3 linked regions of the Drosophila melanogaster genome follow. The gene in region 2 interacts genetically with the main gene of each other region. Each region holds a gene or a part of one and is shown on either strand. Other genes may lie near its edges.

Evidence for each region.
Region 1: of fru (region 2) and oaf, changing one suppresses a phenotype caused by changing the other (phenotypic suppression), as found in Drosophila melanogaster (one study listed by BioGRID).
Region 3: of fru (region 2) and dock, changing one suppresses a phenotype caused by changing the other (phenotypic suppression), as found in Drosophila melanogaster (one study listed by BioGRID).

Annotation. Positions count from the first base shown.
Region 1 is NT_033779.5:2,491,308-2,498,992, reverse strand, and holds oaf (out at first), read right to left. Parts: upstream 6,039-7,685; 5' UTR 5,964-6,038; coding exon 5,697-5,963; intron 3,620-5,696; coding exon 3,506-3,619; intron 3,424-3,505; coding exon 3,105-3,423; intron 2,595-3,104; coding exon 2,296-2,594; coding exon of another isoform or gene 1,831-2,295; 3' UTR 147-1,830; downstream 1-146. Other genes in the region: Slh (SLY-1 homologous), read left to right, coding at 6,473-6,500, 6,575-6,734, 6,792-7,480, 7,551-7,685. UniProt on the Drosophila melanogaster protein: Vital for proper neuronal development and hatching.
Region 2 is NT_033777.3:18,542,575-18,547,124, forward strand, and holds the start of fru (fruitless), read right to left. Parts: upstream 3,013-4,550; 5' UTR 2,539-3,012; intron 1-2,538. UniProt on the Drosophila melanogaster protein: Probably acts as a transcriptional regulator.
Region 3 is NT_033779.5:824,121-832,006, forward strand, and holds the start of dock (dreadlocks), read left to right. Parts: upstream 1-1,848; 5' UTR 1,849-2,387; intron 2,388-5,184; exon of another isoform or gene 5,185-5,336; 5' UTR 5,337-5,415; coding exon 5,416-5,851; intron 5,852-6,024; coding exon 6,025-6,229; intron 6,230-6,617; coding exon 6,618-6,963; intron 6,964-7,056; coding exon 7,057-7,506; intron 7,507-7,593; coding exon 7,594-7,803; 3' UTR 7,804-7,886. Other genes in the region: CG3862 (uncharacterized protein), read right to left, coding at 313-1,677. UniProt on the Drosophila melanogaster protein: Adapter protein that links cell surface receptor tyrosine phosphorylation to downstream signaling pathways and effectors, many of which are involved in regulation of the actin cytoskeleton.

The sequences.
Region 1 (7,685 bases), on a different chromosome or scaffold from region 2:
GCATTTTAATGCATCGATAGGTTGGCTATTCCGTGAGCCCTTCAATGATTAGGAAAATGCATTGCTAAACGAATGCAGTCGAAATCAATGCAAATAAGCCTAAAACAGAAATTCCAATCACAATAAAAGTCGGTGTCGAGTTTTTTCATTACTGAATTTTTTTATAAAACGTAGAATTCGTCAGCATTTGTATTAAGACTAATTATTAATTTCAATTTCTTAGTTAGGACTAGTCGATTAATCGTTAATATTGGCAAATGCTATTCACACAATTCAGATCATCGAGTCTTACCAGTTTTAAATGCTTAGTAATACTAATCAATTTCGTTTCCATTACATTTTATACAGTGAGTCAAAGGAGCTGTCTTCCTATATCGTAGAAAAAATTATTATCACCGTTGGTTTTTCTTGTTTTCGAAACTTCTGGTTTACAACTTCCGATTTTGGTTTAATTTCTTTTGTAGTACGCTTTTAGGAAAATATGCCATTCTAACACTCTAAGAAGACTAGGTTCTTGAAATTTATACAATAGATTATTGTTCTTGGTATTGTTTATTATTGGTATCAATCAATTTGCTTAAGGTTTTGCCATCGTTAAGGTATTTCATTTGTTTCGAATACAAAGTGGAAAAGGTTACAAGTCAAAGGCAAAAAGGCAGGCGTGTTTACGGTCTAGTTTATAAGGATTAGATTTGAAGGGAAAGATTAGTAGGAAAAAAAACGGGAGTGGGTATCTCAAACAGCCATTTTCGAGTGGTAAAATGCAAAAGCTTTTTATTTTTTTTTATGCGGCATTCGTTTTGGTTAGTAGAATTCTTCATCTACATTCACCATTCCCCAAATGGCCATATATCTTATTCTTGTGGTTTTTCTATTACAACTATTATGAGCACAATTAATTCCGAGTTTTGCCAACGCCTGACATACATACATATTCCTTAGTTCAATGAATGTACTTTTTCTACCGCTCGTAAAATATGCTAAGGCCACATTTAATTTATTTATACTTCTATTCCTATTTAATCTTCTTGAGCTCAACGCAACACGGGTGGAGAGGGCGTGGAACGCGATATTGTGTCCAACAATCTTAATACATCTAATCAGGCTTCAGTTAAGGTAAGTGAAGTGGAGATAAAGGCAAACAAAGGAAACATAAAGCGCTCTAAAAGGGTAATTGAAACGAAATTGCTGCGCACAATGTACATGGAAAAGTATGAAGTGAACGGGCAAAGTAAACAAATTGAAAATGGACTTGAAAGGTGAGCAGGCAAGAAAGCTGGAAGGAAGATGGCTATAAATTCTCAAATACTTTGGAAAAAGTTAAGAAAGATCTAAAGAGTGATAGATAATTACAAGAAAGGTGCTGCACTATAATTAAATCAATAAGTTTTAGGTTTTAAAGCTATGTCATAGGAAATGTAAATGATTTGATAAAAGATCACACTGTAGTAGGAAAGGATTAAATGGCAAAGGAGTACGTCTCAGAAGTGCTTAACTCTTAATTCTGCGAGCTCTCTTAGGATTTAATTAAATAAGGACACCTAATCTAGGTCTAAACTTAAATCCGGCATAAGCGTAAAACGTAAGCTGGCTAAAAGCTAATCATCGTTAAATATACATATATATACATAGTATACAGAAGCACTTTTTTACATTTATTTCGTTTTACTCCTTTTTTGCTGTAGTATAACCTTCACCCAGTGGCTTGCATTCGAATGTCCGCGTCCAGAATCGTCTTGAATCGTGAGCGGAAAAAGTGTCAGCATTCGTTTTTTTCCTGGATGTGTAGTGTAGTGGATTGTGTAAGTTGGGTTTTTCAAGCGTTCATTATCACGCAACGATGGCGGCCATTGCGGACGACGACGACGACGATGATGATGATGGCGGTGATGATGATGTTGACGGTGTTGGTGGTGTTGATGATGATGACTGGTGATGCGAAGTGGGGGCAACCTGAGAATGATGCTGATGCTGCTTCTGCTGCCGGCTGGGCTTATGTTGGGACTGGGACTGGTGATGGGACTGGGAAATGTGATGGACCGGAAAACTCCACAGAGCAAAAGGCATCTGCTGCTGGACCAACAAAAGCAGTTGGCGTAATTTGTTGGTTGTCGTTGTTGTCGCTGCCGTTGTATCCTTCCCACTTCCCCCAGCTCCCCCGCCAGTTATTGTCGCGGTCGTGGTTGCTGCTCTTGTTTCGCCACCCGGGCAGGTGGCACTGGCATCATCCCCAAACTCGCTACCATTCCGCCGCCTCGCGCAGCGCATCTGCATCAGCTGCAGCTCGCCGCGTCGTCATTCATCCCAGAGGCACTGTTGTTTCTGCCGCACATAATAGGTGAACTGTGTGCACTTGCGGCAGGTCTTGATGCCGCAGCGATAATTCGTCGGCTGTGCCTGCTGCTGGGCGCCCGACGAGTCCGCTCCGGCGACTCCCTTGCCCTTGCAGTACTTGAGCCCGCAGGGATACCAGCCGATGCAGGTCTCCAGGTTGCACAGGCAGGGCGCCCACAGGCTGCTCACCTCGTTGCAGCGCGTCGAGAGCGTGTCCGGGAACTTTTCGGTGGCGGCCTCCAGGCTGGAAATCGAGGAGCCTGCCAGGAGCAGGAGTACAACGAACGGAAAGCGAAACAAAAGCGTAAACAAAAAGTTTGAAAGTGGCAAGAACCCTCAAAACTGGTCGATATCTGTACTGAAGTTTTCCATCTACCAAGATTTCAGACGGATTTCTCTAACTAACTTTCCTAACTTTCGATTAACATGTTTTTGTTTTAATAATTGGTAACTCTTTAAAAGGCAAAACTGGAAATGAATGCTTTAACTTTTTCCTCATTGTATATATGCACGTACTGCTTTTATAGATTCGTTTTAATAATTTTGTTTGTGCAAAACTTCAACCATATTGCGCAGCGCACGCGATGACTTTTTATAGGTAGAACTTTAAATAATCAGCAGCGCAAACGGTTTTAATATTATCCAAAAAATTGAAAACAATTAAAAAGAAAAACATTCAACCATAAATGTGCTTTAAAATTACTTATAGGGATATTCCATTTAAAGATTTACCAATTTCACGCACTGAACATCCCCAGGGAAGCACTCACCTGGTAGCTCCGCCCAAGCTTTAAGGTCCACATCCCGGACATAGGTGGCGTCCATGGCCTCGGCGCAGAGTCCCTGCAGATGTCTGGTGATGGGCAGCGAGCGGTTGAGCTGTACCCAGCTGCTCATGGTGAAGGTCTCACGGCCCTTGTCCTCCTCGGGAGTGCGGATGGTGTGCGGATTCTTCTGGCGCAGCTTGGCCATTGCCGCCGAGGAGATGAAGTCGCCCTTGTTGAACTTGGTTGCGAAGCACATGACCTGGTACTGGCTCTGGCCACGCTCCTCCTCGCCGAGAACCAGAGCCTTGAGGATTTGAACCTCCTGAGGGGAAGATGGATAAGAGGTTTTCAATTTCAATTGGGTCTCTCGCCCTGCTCTCTAGAGCCTCGGATTCTTCACTCACATTGCGAAAGTCGATGACCTGGGTGATGAGCGTTCCGTCGGTCTTCTGAAACTCCAGCGTTATCAGGTCCTCGCCAATGTTGGAGGTAATACTCTCCTGGATCACCTCGCCGCCCTGCAAAAAATGAAAAACAGGAAATGAAACGGATTAGAGAGAGCAACAAGTGTTAAATTACATTCTCGGCATCCCTCCCCTAGCCAGCTAAAATATTAATACGGCACAAAGGCAGTGACGAGATGTTGCAGAGGGGTTCCTTACGTTGTCAGGACTTAAATTAACTATGACAGCTCCTGAAGCTGGGCGGCCATGAACCAAATTAGAGTCAAGAGAGTTGAAAAATAGAAAAAAGACAAGCATGGGGGCCAACGAAAACGAAACGAAGATGAGTGGGATGGGTTTTGGCAAAAGGGAAGGATGGGTTTTGGGTATGAAGATGAGAGCGGAGGAGCCAACTCCTCATTCCACGACAACTGGAAATGTAGTTCAACAACAACAGCAGCAGTATTTGCCCTCAACACGTGTACATGAACCAATTTGTTGGATGTGGGTGATGTTGTTGTTATGATACCCTGGTATAGACTAATTTCACTGCTCTGATTACAGATATCTTAATACTGATGTCATTTAGTAGCTGGTACAGAATGTCGACTAATTAACTATTAGAACTAGTATGATTAAGAACTGGATTTCATAGGGTATATCGGGATTCGACCCTTGCAACAACTATGCTTTCTGCTTTGTTCTTGTTTCTGCTGGGTTTTCCGTGTGTTTGCACAAGGGCGCATGTAAACAAAGAATAGCCGAAAGAAGTGAGAAGAGAAGAGGAAGTATGGAGGAGCGAAGGAAGAGAGCCATCAGGACATTTTGGGGCCAGGGACAGAGCGCAGAGAACAATGAAGGATGTCACATGTAAACAAAGATGTACGAAAATACGCTGTGTGCAAGTGAAATAGGGAAAGAGAGAAAGAGAGAGGCTGCCTTCATTTCAAGCCCGGTGCTTTTTCGGCCAGCTAATCTAAAATTTATGGAAAAGCCGAAAGCAAAGTGTCAATATTGAGGCAGTCAAACAAACCCAACTAATATTAAAGTGGAAAAACGAAACGACAGGCAAGTGAAAGTTTCAATACTGGCATTGAACTGCACATATGTATATGTCGCATTACGGATGTATTCTGACCACTGTACGTGTCTGTCATATTATTACCATGGTTTGACCACTGTGCTTGCAAGACGCAGCTGCGCAATGAGTTCGGTATATTGAGAGGTCATTCTTAGAATTTGACTATCACGAAGAATATGACTGGCGTCAAAGTACCGTTACGAGTGAGGCGACGGCGTTGTCGCGCTGTCGCCTAGTTGGACTACACTAGCGTGTGTAAAGGATAGATCGATGCGTAGAAAATACGATCAGTTGCATACAGACGATCGCGCACGCCGGTTGGAATTCGCTTCACTCAACATGGGAGATCAGGCACAAGAAAATGTCAACGCTGCGACATATGCATGTACATACATATGTACATAATGGCGTTGCAAGCATATAGAATAGAGCTTTGTTTTATGGTCATCAGGCATCGATGGATTATCTGGCCTACTTAACGGTATACTAATTAGATATCGGCGAAGTACAAGCTCACAGAACATGTTTCCATTCGGAGAATCCTGTATTTTGCATAAATCAATAGGGGACATGATTTGTTGTGCACATGTGTGCTGCACGAATCAACGTGGGCTGTGTATGCGTGTGTGCAATCCTTTACATTTGCAACTTATTGGATGAACTGCGTGTTCTTAAGAACGAACTAAGCATTGTTTATGAAATACCGAATCCTTGCTAATTCTAAAAGCAATATATTGGCGTATTTTACAATATGACTAGGCAAATTTTAAATTTCAGATACATATACTTGTCATATTCTACTGTCATAGCTGTAATAACTGTCACTGAATTACTATCTTTTTAATATTTAATTTGTTGTTTTCGCAGATTTGTTTATTTGTCTTGAGCACCTCTCTTTCGCTCTCTCATTCTCCCGCGTTTTAAATTTGTTTTGTTTTGGCGCGCAAATTTTCGAAATGAGATGTTCGAAAATCAGATGGGCAGCGCTGCCAGCGTCGCTGTTTGTCGTTGTTGCGTTTTGCGTTGTTGGGATTTAAGTGTTTTAAACCATTTTTTTTTGCGATTTCGCACCTGATTTTGGACGTTAATGAGCAGCTGGGAGTGGGCGAATGCGTCCGCGTTCATCACTAAGTTGCACAGCAGGAACCACAGAAACGCGCGACTGTGCTTGAAAAAGTGATTTTTACTGACGACGCGACCGCAGCAATTGCCGTGCGCTGGTGTTCGAGTGCGGCTGAGTGCCTTAAGATGCGCCATTCGCCAGCGGACCTGCGCCTGCCTTGCCGCATTTGCGGCAGTTTCGATGCTCTGGTGTGGGTGCTCCTCCTTTAAGATCATTGCGATCCGACAACTTTTAAATAAAATCACAAGAAAGCACAACGAACCACTCGCGTCGACGAACGAAAAATAACTGGCAGAAAATGGTGAAACTGACTGAAACGTGACTTTTCGAAATCAGCTGACAGGTGTGACCGTGCGGTAATCCCAAAGGGTGCTGCCAACCTTCTCGAACAGGAGCCTACGAATTTCGATTGTAGAAAATATACCAACCCAATATAGCTGCATTACACTGGCACACATATCTATATCTATAGAATAAATAGACTACATTCATTTTCATTTAGTATTTAAATATTCATATTGGAATTTCCACTGCATACGTTCACACCAGCCGCACAGCTGATGCCTGTACTATGCACTAAAATTTCCCAAAACGCGTTGCCTCGCCGTCGCTTGTGACGTGTTGTTTTTTTGTAAAATATGTTTTTCAGCTGCTAAAACGGACATAGATTGTTGAAAATCCACTGAAACTAACTCAGAAGGACGGGCTAAAGACGGACTATATAATGCTGACCCTGCGGGAGCGCCAAATCAGTGAGAAACTATGAAAACAATGCCCCCATTGAAGGGAAAACCTAATTAATGGATTTTCATATTAATCATTGCAGATGCCATTAAGCAGATGCTTAATTTGAACTCGCAGCAGCCGAAAGCCCTAGCTGCCGAGCCCGTGTGGAAGATCCTTATCTACGATCGCGTTGGCCAGGACATCATATCGCCCATTATTTCCATCAAGGAGCTGCGCGAGTTGGGCGTGACGCTGCATGTGTAAGTTGTGCGAGATCCTCCAGGAATCCAGAAATTATAGCTTTGGTTAACCTCCAGGCAACTGCACTCGGATCGCGACTCCATTCCGGATGTGCCGGCTATATACTTCTGCCTGCCCACCGACGAGAATTTGGACAGGATTCAGCAGGACTTCTCGAGCGGACTGTACGACGTGTACCACCTGAACTTCCTAGCTCCCATAACGCGCAGCAAAATCGAGAATCTGGCCGCCGCAGCCCTGCATGCCGGCTGCGTGGCCAACATCCATCGCGTTTACGACCAGTATGTGAACTTCATCAGTCTGGAGGATGACTTCTTCATCCTAAAGCACCAGCAGAGCGATCAGCTTTCATACTACGCCATCAACCGGGCCAACACCCGCGATGAAGAGATGGAGGCCCTGATGGACTCCATTGTAGACTCGCTCTTCGCCCTGTTTGTGACCCTGGGCAATGTGCCCATCATCCGCTGTCCGCGGAACAGTGCCGCTGAAATGGTGGCACGCAAGCTGGAGAAGAAGCTGCGCGAGAACCTTTGGGATGCGCGTGCCAATTTGTTCCACATGGATGCCACGCAAGCCGGCGGCGGAGTGTTCAGCTTTCAGAGACCTGTGCTCCTGCTGCTGGACAGGAACATGGATTTAGCCACGCCGCTCCATCACACCTGGTCGTATCAGGCGCTTGTGCACGATGTACTGGACTTGGGACTGAATCTTGTCTACGTGGAGGACGAGACGGCTAGTGCGGGCAAGTAAAATTACTTTTATCAAGGCGCTGAATAACTGAGACTCACCAACTACGTTTTCCTATTCTTTAGGAGCCCGCAAAAAACCCAAGGCCTGTGACTTGGACCGCAACGACCGCTTCTGGATGACGCACAAGGGCAGTCCATTTCCCACGGTGGCCGAAGCCATCCAGGAGGAGCTGGAATCCTATCGGAACTCCGAGGAGG
Region 2 (4,550 bases):
CCCCCCCCCCTTTTACTTCCACCCATATTTTACCCATATTTTCCCGTGCTTCCCCCGACTTTTCCCACCTCCCAACTTGTTGGACTTTTGTAACGGTTCTGGCACTGGCTGTTCATCAGGCTGCAGTCGCAGCAGTTCGGCTTACACACAATTTACAAAATAACCTCAATCCACCCACTCAATCTCGCATTCCCGCGCCCCGCTGGAAAACTGCGTCCCTGCCTCGCAGGGGCCCTTCACTCAGTCACTCAGTCAGCCGACTGGGAGAGTGTGTAAATTGTCTTGTGTAAATATGCAAATTTTTCTTATTTTCATACCCTGAAAGGGAGTCGCACTGCTGCAACAAGAACTTTACAAGCCTCTCAGGAAAATGCAGCCGCACTAGTACTGTTTTATGAAGTAAAACTAGTAACTTTGGTAAGCACTTTTTTGTAAGTGCTATTCAGAATATGCTCAACTGTATAGGAGTTGTATTAAACAAATGCGACTTTAAAAATATTTAAAGAGTTTATTCAGCATTTCCTTCAAGCAATTTTTTTCTACGAAGGAAATCCTTTGAGATGTATCTATTTATCTAATGAAATTTAAAATATAATTTTGCCAAATCATTATAAAAATTAATATATATACTCCCGATTTTTTCCTAATCCATTTAGTTTACAAGCTCTAACTTGATTTTCTGTTTCATAATAAGATTAACTGAAATATTATATACTCTTGCATCGTTTGAGTTCACATTTTTTAATTTAAAGTTGATATGGTCTGCTTTTTACTTTATTTTAACTCATATAATAAGAGTAACTTTCTTAAATCATCCTAATTTCTACCGAAATAGATTCCCATCTATTTTTAGGCACTTTTCGTGCAAGGGTATTAAGCGTATCGACTTCCTGGGGTGTATCCTGTCAATCCTGTTTTTATTGTCAACGTTGTTGTTATTGTCTGGAGTGTGGATAGGGATCGGGGGCGCTGTGGGCGGGGCGCTGGCAGTTCGTGTAAACAAACCAAGGCGTCGGATTAAAAAGTTTTGCATTACAAAGAGTTTTCGGTGGACGGACGATGGGGACGGAAGCTTGGGAAAATGTTTTGATTATTTAACTGCAAGTTACGATAAAACTAATTGCAATTACAAGCGGACTCTTTCCCTTTATGGCCCCTAATGAAATTGGCAATGCCAAGGCTGACGATTCAGCACAACTCAAATCAAACTCGGACGCAAACTTCGCACTGCAATTTTATTGGCCCGGTTCAATTTGAATGGTTTGCTTTCTTTGTTGGCCTCTGCATAAATTTTCCTCGGGCAATATTGATTTCCATTACAAATCCAATATTAAACTATGCCCCTGAGAGCGATTACTCGATTCCTACCGTTTTGCTTACTTACTTAAACCTTTTGTAACTCAACGAAATTGAGGACATGGCCAGGACACGGCCAGGATGCACCCGGCCCACAGATTTGTAGTTATTACAAAGGATCATTAAGAGCGTAGATATATTTTCCCTTTAGACTTGTCATTTAATCTCTGGAAATATTTACTACACATTCCTACCTCATAATTTGTCAAAATATTTTTGGGTGCCTTTAAAAACCAAATTTATGTTGGCCGGGGGAGATGTAAGAGTACTCAAATATATTATTGAATATAAATTGGTAACACGGATTAGCCAGTTTGCAATTGGCCTTGGTCTGCTGAACTTCTGAATAAACTGAATCAAATGCAGATGAAGTAAACTGATATTTGCTAATAAAATATAAGAAACTGAAATTTGAATTGTGCTCAGCCAACTTTAGGTTTTGTTGTAATTTAATTTGCTAGTTAAAAGTTTTCGAAGATTTTGTTGTTATAACTGAACCGAATGTTTCTTAGCAGTATAGTATTCTTGCAAAACACCTCAATGTGGTTTAGAAAAATAATTTATTGTAATTTAATTTAGGTATATCTTAATTCTGTCAGTAGATTCTATGATTTAATTTTCTAAAAATTCTTTGTAATTATTAAAGGTAAATAAGGACCATATATTTGTCTGACCTGTTATTAATTATTTTATACATCTGTACTGATGTGAATGGATGAATATTTTTTAAATGTGTTAACGTAGTGAATTTTCTTGCAGTACCATAGATATTAACTGCTTGGATACTCACTCAAATATTTTAATATATTTATTTTATATTAAAACTTGGAAACCCCAACGTTTTCGAACCTATCTAACATTTTTAAATATAAAACCTAATTGATAAACACGTACTTCATAATAGATAGCACATAGTGAGAATGCACTTTAAATATTTTTAGAACCCACATTATAAAATTTTCAAAAGACTTAGTTAAAATAAATATTTATACAAAGAAAATGAGCAAACAAATGTTTTTTTTTTAATATTGGTTTTGTACCTGTGCCCTTAACGTATTCCACAAAACCACTTAATACAATTTGAACAACATAAAATCTGCTCTCAGAAGAGCATATCACCTGCACTTTAAGTAACTTTACATAGGAATACCTGGCTCTTGTTGGCCGGGAACACAGACTCACCTGCTTTTATTTGACCTTATGCGGCTGCAACTTGTTGACTTTAATGAAAATGCACTCAGCAGAGGCTGACTGGCACACACAAAACGCTGGCACAACAAGTTAATATGTATTAGCTAGTCGCTAGTATGTCTGTAGTATCTTGGCTTAAAACGGCACTCGGTGAGACACCAACAGAAAAAAAAAGGACAAACAAAATCGGGCGGCACTCGCACACTCAAACGTACGCACACAGTTGCAAAACAAGTCAAGCGCGAAAGGACCGACTAAAACATGGCTAACATGTTTGGCTAATTGGCGTTTCTAGCGCCGATTTTTACAGCGCTCTAGCATTTATGTAAGCGGAATGTAAAACGCTTTACAGGACTTCAAAGTCTGGATTGGATTGGATTTGAATTGGAATGTTGTGGCAGGTCGTTCGGTATGTCGGCTGCTGATTTCCTTCGAAGGGATTGTGTGAGCTGTGCGTCCTTGCTGAAGGAGCCGCCGCGTCCAACTGACTGCTGCTGGATGTGCAAGCTGCGATTGTTGCAACGACTCTGCTGTCGCAGCACCAACGAAACGCAGCAGCAGCAGGCGCAGCACGGCGACAGCAGCAGCGTCAAAGGCAAAAGCAGCAGCAACACATAAACGCAGTACATGGTGGGTTCGGTGGAATACATATACATGCTCGTTGCTGCCGAAGTCCTTGCAGTCGAAGGGTTGTGTAGTTGCACTTGTAGTTGCTCGTGTTGCAACACACACAGCAGCAGCAGCAGCAGCAGCAACAGCAGCAACACGACATCAACTTCGGCCCACATTGTGCAATTGGCTTAGTTCCCAGTCAACAACTGGCCGCCTTTACAGTGCCCGTTTACAGCGAAGAGAAATGCTCTCGATATCCTTGGCTGCTTTCTCTCCGAGGATTTTCTCGAACAGCTGTTCGCGCTTGCCGGCTCTTATCAGTGAAATGGTAACAGCTCCTGTTAGCGTGCAAATGCACTTTTCTTTTCTTGGCTTTCCGCAGTGGCATTTCTTTTCGTTTCCTTCCTCTTCCTTGCCTTACTTTCATTTCCGTTCCTTTCGGTGGGGTTTGATTTATTATGTAAAAGTACAAGGACACTGCCACATACAGTGGGTACTCAATTAACTAGCTTTAGAAAACGAAAATATATATATTTTTAAAAAGGCAATGTTTACTTTAAGTAAATATTAATTGAATATAATATGATTTCAATACGAATAGCAAACATAAGTAGGCAACTTAACGTTAATAATTGATGAGTAGGGAAAACTAACAAACAATTTATCAAAAATGTATTAAATATATGCTTTCGCTACGATCCCGATTACAGGGTGTACACTGTACCTGCGGAGCTGCGTGTGCGTGCCAAGTGTTGGACAAACAAGCTGAGCACTAAAGCCGGAATACATTTGAGACTCTTGCAATCGACTTAATACGCCGCTAGAAGGGGGCACGATACGGCCTCATTGCCCCTACGGGAATGACAACCAATATGAAAATGGATTACCACAAAATGCAAATTGCGAAATGGCCAATTGATACCAGCGTCTAGCCACCTAATCGTCCGATTAAACCACCTTAAAATCGCAAAGCAGCCAGGCATTAATTACACGAAGTAAATACACCGACTCGGTTTACTCGGCAATGATAAAATCTATTATTAGAGAGGCCGAGTGGAAAGTTTTCCACCAACCAAGCCAACCAACGTTTGCTGTTGCCAACCGGCGTTGTTAGCAGAGCGCTGCTAAAGGACCTCTGTTAACTGGGCCGGCACGTGTTTCTCTCTCGCACGCACACAGCGAAGCGGATTTTTTGATTCTGTTTTGATTAATAGCTTCGTTGCAAGCTTATCAAGCGCCCACACACACACACACACACACACACACAAGCGCGCGGCCAGGAAGTGCAACAATGTCACGTGGCCGGCATTTGCCGAAGTCTCCTCTCGCCAGGACTCGCGCTCGCTCTCATTTCGAGTTGCCCCCATTTTCTCTCTCTGTAAGGCCTGCGC
Region 3 (7,886 bases), on a different chromosome or scaffold from region 2:
ACACTGCGGCATTCCAAGTACATATTTTATATATATGCTCTTAAACTCTATTCTAACAATTAATGTATAGAACGGATTCAGAACGAAGCTATTTACAGCAAAAACAACCTGAGGGCGGAAAACATGGCAACTATCAGCATGCGTAAGAGAAACAAGTAAATTAATCTAAATGTTCTTTAAACTACTTACATGTATTAAACGCGAATTTGTGATCTTTAGCAGTGTGATCTTTATTGGTTGGGCTGCCACTGGCAATAGTATTTTCGACTAGAGTATACTTTAAGTTAACTAATCTAAAACAAACAGCTTAATCTAGAAGAACGGCTTGCACAAGGCAATGGTGTGATCCACTCCGTAGGCCACTTTGGTGACCTTTCCGTTGATGGCCGCCTTAAAGGGAAAGAACTGGTCCTTCTTGTGTCCCAGCCCCAGATGCCCGAACCTGTTCTTGCCCCACATGAAGAGATCTCCGTCCGAGTTGACGGCGCCCATGTGAAACACTCCGCATCCGATGGAAACCACTGTGGTTTCGTTGCTGAAGTCATTTCGTCCGAATAAAGGCGGCAACAGATGCTGCGGCTTGGATGTTTGCTCCACGAAGGGTCCGAAGCCGAGGATGCCAAAGCCCCAGGTGTACACCAGACCCTGGTCGTTGAGGGCCATGCAAAATGAGCCTCCCGCAGCCACATCCTTGATTTTCCCGATGGACTTCGTTAGTTTGAGAGCTCTAGGGATATTTATTTGGGTTTCGGCCAGCTCTGAGTCATCTAGCTGTCCGTACTCAGAATTGCCCCAGCCAAAGGCATCGCCCGCCTCGTTAAGGGCCAAAACGCAGTCCGAGGAGCAGCTGAGCCGCACAATCTTCTCCTTTTCCACATCTCCTCCAATCAGGGTTATCTGCCCGGCGGTGTGGTAGTTTCCCTGACCTGTTTGACCATCCGCACCCCAGCCACATGTGTAAATGCGTCCCTTTTTGGTAAGAAACATGCTGTGGTCCTGGCCGCACTCCACCTGGACCACCTCATCCTCCTTGCCGCATATATCTTCCTGCGATATCCTGTGGATCAGGGCACTCTTGCTGTACCGCTCCTCCTCTATGATGGAGCGGCCACATTGGCCGTACGAATTGTTTCCCAGGGTGAAAATGGTTCCGTTTTGGGTCAGAACCACCAGGTGAGCTCTACCCGCCGACATGCTCTTCACACGCATGTCCTCGTCTGTTTCTCCCTGAACTCTCGGCAGTTTAATGGCTGTAGGATAAATGATCACGTCAAGGTTGGCCGGATCATTGGGATTTCCCTTCACCTGGAAACCCAGTTGGGAGTCGGTGTTCAAACCGCTGCCAAAGAGCGTCTCTCCGTCATCTCTATTCACGGCGTAGACCGTGAACCCGTAGCCGGCGGCCACATCCGTGATTTCGTTGTTGTTGGAGAACTGCAAGCGGGTGGGATGGTGCACCATCTCCGTGTAGCGTTCCTTGGCCTTCTTCACGTTGGTCTGGAGACCGAGAGCGCCGGTTTCCTGAAAGCCCCACACGTAAACTCGGTGCTCATGGCTGTCCGTCGTCTTCGGTGAGTACTCCTTGATCTTCGACTTGTCCTGCGCCAGCACACCCCTCTTCGCCTTGGCGGTGTACGACCTGCTGATGCCAAGCACAATACCCCGAGTTTTCAGCATGGTATTTCGGGTTAAACCAACCATGTAATCCAAAATCATAACAAAAACGCCACCCGATATCGATAGACCCGATGACCGGACAAGTGCTGCACAGCGCGCAACGTGCTTATCGATAGTTCGCTAAGAAAAACCGCTGATACGCCACCTGACAGCCCTGGTCGTGGTCAATCGCTATCGCCTTCCGCACATCGAAATCGGATGGGCGACGTGAAAGAAACGGCTCCGGCAAAATCATTAAAATTTAATTAGTTAACCGCAAGAGAGCGCTGCAAAATTGTGCAAACAATTTGCCACTTAACGCAGTTAACGTGTGCGGTAATCAGAAGCGTGGAAAAGCGTTTATTTGTCAGGATTTGTGTGTTTTTCAATCGCGGCAGCAGCATATGTACACACACACAGGCTCACCCCCGCCCCACTCACACACACACACTCACGCCTAGGTGTATTATAATTAAAGTTGTGTTTTAAGTGTGTGTAAAGTGCAATAGCCCAGTGGAAAGTGGAAGTGATATAGAGTGCGTTCCAGGAGTTCCAGGAGCAGTGTCTTATCCCATGTCTTCCACTCCCAAATCCTGAGGATTGCCAAGGGTTAAGACCGAGAAATACGGACTCCGACTTTCCGGATAAGGATACGGATACGGATAAGGAGTGCCAGGATAAGGAGATCCAGGAGGAATATAGGAGTTGCCAGTCCAACCGCTTCGTCTCCGGTAGGTACACACAAAATATTCGGCTGCTCCTTTTTAGCTCCTGTTCGAATCTCTCACGGCTCTCTCTCTCGGCTCTCTCTCTCTCTCTCTTGACCTGCGCTCTCTCTCTTTATCTCGCCCTCGTCACCTGGTGGTGCGTAGTCCTTTGGCTCGGTCCACCACCCGCCCAGTGGGCGGTGCTGCAACCCTTAGCCCTCCGCTTTCCATCACCTTTTTTTGGGTAACCATGGTCGTGTTTACGGCAAACTGTGCCACCGATATATATGTGTGTACATATGTACCCTTTCCCTTGTCTAGATAGATGAAACAGATAAATCGTGAAGATGCTTCACTTACCATAAATCTATAATATGTTCATTGCTCAAATACTACTATAGTAGGTACTTGTGTTTTTCAAAAGCCTGTGCCAGGTACAAAAGCTTGTACTCTTAACAACACTGGGAACGAGTCCTGCCATCCTTTGCAGGACGAGAAGTCCACCCTCTCGCTGCCAAAAAGCCACCACCTCGCAGAGATTTTGCGCAGCATCTCTAAACGAAACGGCCGGCAAATGTCGCAAACTCCCTCGGCAACAAAAGCCAAAAAAAAAATACAAAATACAAAAAACAAAACCGAAACCGAAACCCCATTCGAATCCCATTCCCCAGCAAAAGCATCTACTTAATCAACCCGGGCGGGAGTGGACTCCCAGCTCCCTGAATGAGTGATCTTATGTAAACAGGCTGCCCTTTGCCTCCCACGCCCCGAGATCCAGATAAGAGTGCCCCACTTTCAGTTCCTCCATGGCTGCCCCATCCATCCACCGAAGTCGTAACTCAATGTTATAGACCCAAATGCTCCCGTTTCGGGGCCACCAATTCGTTCGTGATGGCTTTTCTTGGGGACCAATGACTATACTCCCTCGTCTGGAACCGATCTTCAACCAATACACAGACACAGCACGGGGAAACAAACTTTCCGCCTCATAAACTTGTGGGCTTGTCCCCCAAGCACGTGCAACTCTTTCTTTCTCTCAGCGAAAAGACGAACTGCTGTCAGGAAAACAATGAACGAGTGCACCGGAAAAAAACATAAATGTTTGTCATACGGGAAGCTAAGAAATCATACCACAAAGAATTCTTTAAAAATATATATTCATTTATTGCAGTAGCAGTAGGGAATCTTATCAAATCATAGTTCATAATATATTTTTTGACAATTTCTCCGCGCTAACGAACTTATCAGCAAGTTCCTTCCGATTTCTTCGGATTTTATCAGCAGTGTAATGTCAATGTCTCGGCTGTTGGGCTTATGCAAGCGCAAACAATAACAAAACAATCACCAAGCCAAAGAAATCCAAACACCGATCCGAATCCAACGGTGGTGCATTTCAGTTCATTGGCAGCCAGCCAGCCAGCCAGGCGTTTCATGTTTACCAAGTCCCCAAGCGAACCGAACTGAACCGCCCCCTTATCACTCCAGCATTTGCATAAATATAATCTTTTTCGGGTTCTTTCTCCGTTTCTATCTGGGTTCGGTTACGGTTTCACTCCCGCTTTCTCCTCTCAAAAAATAGGGAAAACACACAGACAATTCGCACAACAGTGAATCACTTTGCGACCAATGCTTCGGTTAAACAGGTACTTCTCCGTATCTCTAGCTAACGCAAAAACCTTTGACTAATCGATGGTAAAGTAAACAAAAACACTCGTTATCACATGGAGATTATTATGGCCAAAATTCGAACAGGAAGCACGATTAGAAGTTTACCGGCAAAACAAATTTATGCATTGCCTGCATTTCTTATTATATACGTATGGGTCAGTTGCTAATAGATATTGCACCGAAATGCCAGAATTGAATGGCATTAGAGCTCTCGAAAACACTTTCAGCTGACTCAGCCTCTCGTGTATGACCTAACAGTCATTGAAAAGCGAAACCAAGATTGGCCTAGAGTCAAAGACCGAGTAGAGCGTTTTCTCAACGTGGCCCACACTTATTGATTTTTAATTATCCAAAGATGGCCCTCGGCTATGACATTGACTTTGATTTTGTTGGCTCGCCAACCTGGCCAACGAACTCGGGAAGCCTCTCTAGAGATCTCTGGCCGAAATAACCTTCTGTGCCGCCCGCTAACTGCCTTATGTCACTCGGTAAATCTCGGTTAAGAAACCAATTTCCCAATACCCCCGACCATTCACGTTCGTGACTCATTGCGGTCGAATGTCTCAGTTGATTTCTGTGTCTTTCTTGGCCTGAAATGGCCCGGATTTTGAGTCTCTGGTTCTCCAGCCTCGGTGAGGCTGCCCCGTTGAACAAATCAATACCCGATGGCCACTTATTCGCTCGCCTGGCAATTGGATTCAATTGAGTGGAGTCAGTCGGAGGCAACTTTCACTTGCACAGATTTTAATTGCCCCACAACTGGAATGGCCAGATCCCTCAGCCCCCATATCCATCTCCCGCTCATATTATCATCATCATGATCATCACAACACAAACACTTCACTCATTCATCTTCATCGCCGGCTCGCTGACCCCAAAAACAAACATTCATCTCTCGGCTAATTTTGAGTTGATTTCCTATTTGGTATTTCGAGTTTGAGTACTTGCATTGTATTTTTTAAGCTAATCATTTTTACGCTCTTTAGCTTCTTCAGTGCGAAACAATTAAGCCTAATTTGCATATATCATTTGCTCTCTTTTTCTTTCTTTCTTCGTTCGTTGCTTATGTTATTGCGTTGCTTATGTTTACTTTGCCACGCCTACGCTTCCGCCCACGCTCACGCCCATTCGCCCCCTGAAACCACGCCCACAGCAATTATGCATTGGCTAGAGGCGATTTGCAGCAAGCTTAGAGTGCCAGCGAGCAACTGCAACACATAACCAAACCATCAAAGACTTGTTGTTCATCAACTCCAACCCCAACTCCAAGTCCACCAACACTGAGCCACCGCCTCTTGCCTCCAGGAGCATCACCAGGAGCATCAGGGCAGTCCCAGCTGGAGGAGCAGGAATCCCCCCGCGGCGGAGGAGCAGCCAGTCTGGAATGTTGGAACACCCCCAGCGGTTTGTGCGCAACATCCCCGACTCCTCAGCCAGTTCGCAGCAGTATCCGCAGCAGCAGCAGCATCCGCCACAGCTGCCGCAGCACCAGAATCTGAATCTCAACCAGAATCAGAACCTGAACCAGAATCAGATCTACCAGTACCGTCCCCAGGTGCCCGTGCCCGTTCCCGGCTCACCTGCCCATCACCAGCGGCACTCTTCGCTCTCCCAGCAACAGCAGTTGCACCACCACCGCACCCTGTCCACCGCCTCCTCCTGCAGCGCCCAGCACAAAAGTGTGACCTTCGGCCAGCCAGCGCTCGACTGCGGCGGCAACGGCAGCGGAAGCGCCAACGGAAGCGGTAGCGGCAACTCCTCCAGTGGCAGTGCCGCCGGCAACGCTGGAACCCAATCAATGGCGGGCAACATGAAGCACGGTGAGCAACTGCAACACAATAACCTCACAGCGAGAAGAGCATTGGGTGTAGTAAAAGGATCTAGGATTTGTATGCTAATGAATTTGTGGTTCTATCATACTGGCCCATTTTGCTTTTCTAACTGTGTGTGCACTTGGTACTCTTCTAACCTGTTCCTGTTAATCACTCCGCAGGCAAATCTCAGGACGACGTCTGCTACGTGGTAGCCAAGTACGACTATGCGGCGCAGGGTGCCCAGGAGCTGGATCTGCGCAAGAACGAGCGCTACCTGCTGCTGGACGACTCCAAGCACTGGTGGCGCGTCCAGAACAGTCGCAACCAGTCCGGCTACGTGCCAAGCAACTATGTGAAGAAGGAGAAGCCCTCGCTCTTCGACAGGTGCGTCAGATTCCTGGCCCGACTAAACCTAAGCGTTCTTCTTGCTCTGATTTCAGCAGAATTAAGCCCTCTATACCTGTATCTGTATCCGTATCCGTAGATGTATCTGTATCTCTATCGCGTTCAAATACCCGCCTCCACCTTTTGCTTTGGCTATCGTAATTTAACTTATAACTGCTTTCGGCTTTTGTATTTTGTATTTCAAAACAACAAATTCGTTTTGATTTCGTTGTCTGTCGAGCCCCACTTGCCCCTAAAAACTAAAGATCCACTAACACCCAAACCAACTAGGGCTAGTCTAACCCACTTTAAACCGCCAATGAAATCTAACCATAAAACTTCATCCCAATACTGATCGTGAATATTTTGATTTACGATTTCTGTGCAGCATTAAGAAGAAGGTGAAAAAGGGCTCCGGATCGAAGACACTGCCTAATTGTTCGCCTTCGCGACAGGTCGAGAGTCCAACCATGTCGCGCCGACTTCCCCCAGATCCCGCAGAGGCCATCGGAACGGCTGTGGTCAAGTATAACTATCAGGCCCAGCAGCCCGATGAACTTTCGCTGACCAAGGGCACACGAATCCTCATCCTGGAGAAGTCCAACGATGGATGGTGGCGTGGACAGAGCGGCAATTCCGTCGGCTGGTTCCCCAGCAACTACACAACGGAGGATTGTGATAACGACGGCGAGATCCACACCTACGCAATGGCCGAGAACGTGCTTGATATTGTGGTGAGTAACTGGACGTGTTCTCAAAATAAACATTCACATCATCTATGAGAGGTTGTCATTATTGGCTAATAACAACTATTTTCAAATATATAGGTCGCGCTGTACAGCTTCACGTCAAACAACGACCAGGAGCTCTCGTTCGAGAAGGGCGATCGCTTGGAGATCGTGGATCGGCCCGCCTCCGATCCGGACTGGTACAAAGCTCGCAACAATCAGGGCCAAGTCGGTTTAGTTCCACGCAATTATCTCCAAGAGTTGAACGACTACCTGGCCACGCCCTATCGTAATGCGAGTGCCAGTGCAGGAAACGGAAATGGAGGAGGAAGTAATGGCGGCGCAGGTGGTGGCGGAGGAAACGACTCCATGGAGCGGCGCAATGAGGGTAATAAGCCGGCGGCGCAATCTTCCGGCCAGCCAATCGAGCGGCCAAATCTGGCGGGCAAGTCGTGGTATTATGGAGCCATCACCCGCAGCCAGTGCGACACGGTGCTCAACGGCCACGGGCACGATGGCGACTTCCTCATCAGAGACAGTGAGACTAACGTAAGTGGAATTCGCAATTGAAGTGCCATAACATAGTTCCGCCCGAATTCTTTGAGAGTGTATAAACGAATTCATCCTTTCTTGCAGATGGGAGACTATTCGGTTTCGTTAAAGGCCCCAGGGCGCAACAAGCACTTCCGCGTGCACGTGGAGCAGAACATGTACTGCATTGGGCAGAGGAAGTTCCACTCGCTGGACCAACTGGTCGATCACTACCAAAGAGCGCCCATCTACACGAATAAGCAGGGCGAAAAGCTGTATCTGGTGCGATCGCTGCCGAAGGCCAATGGCACGTAAGCAGGTCCAGGACTGGAGCAGAGAAATCTCAGCATTCATATTACCCGTATTCAACAACACACATATGCAACACAAAGATATAC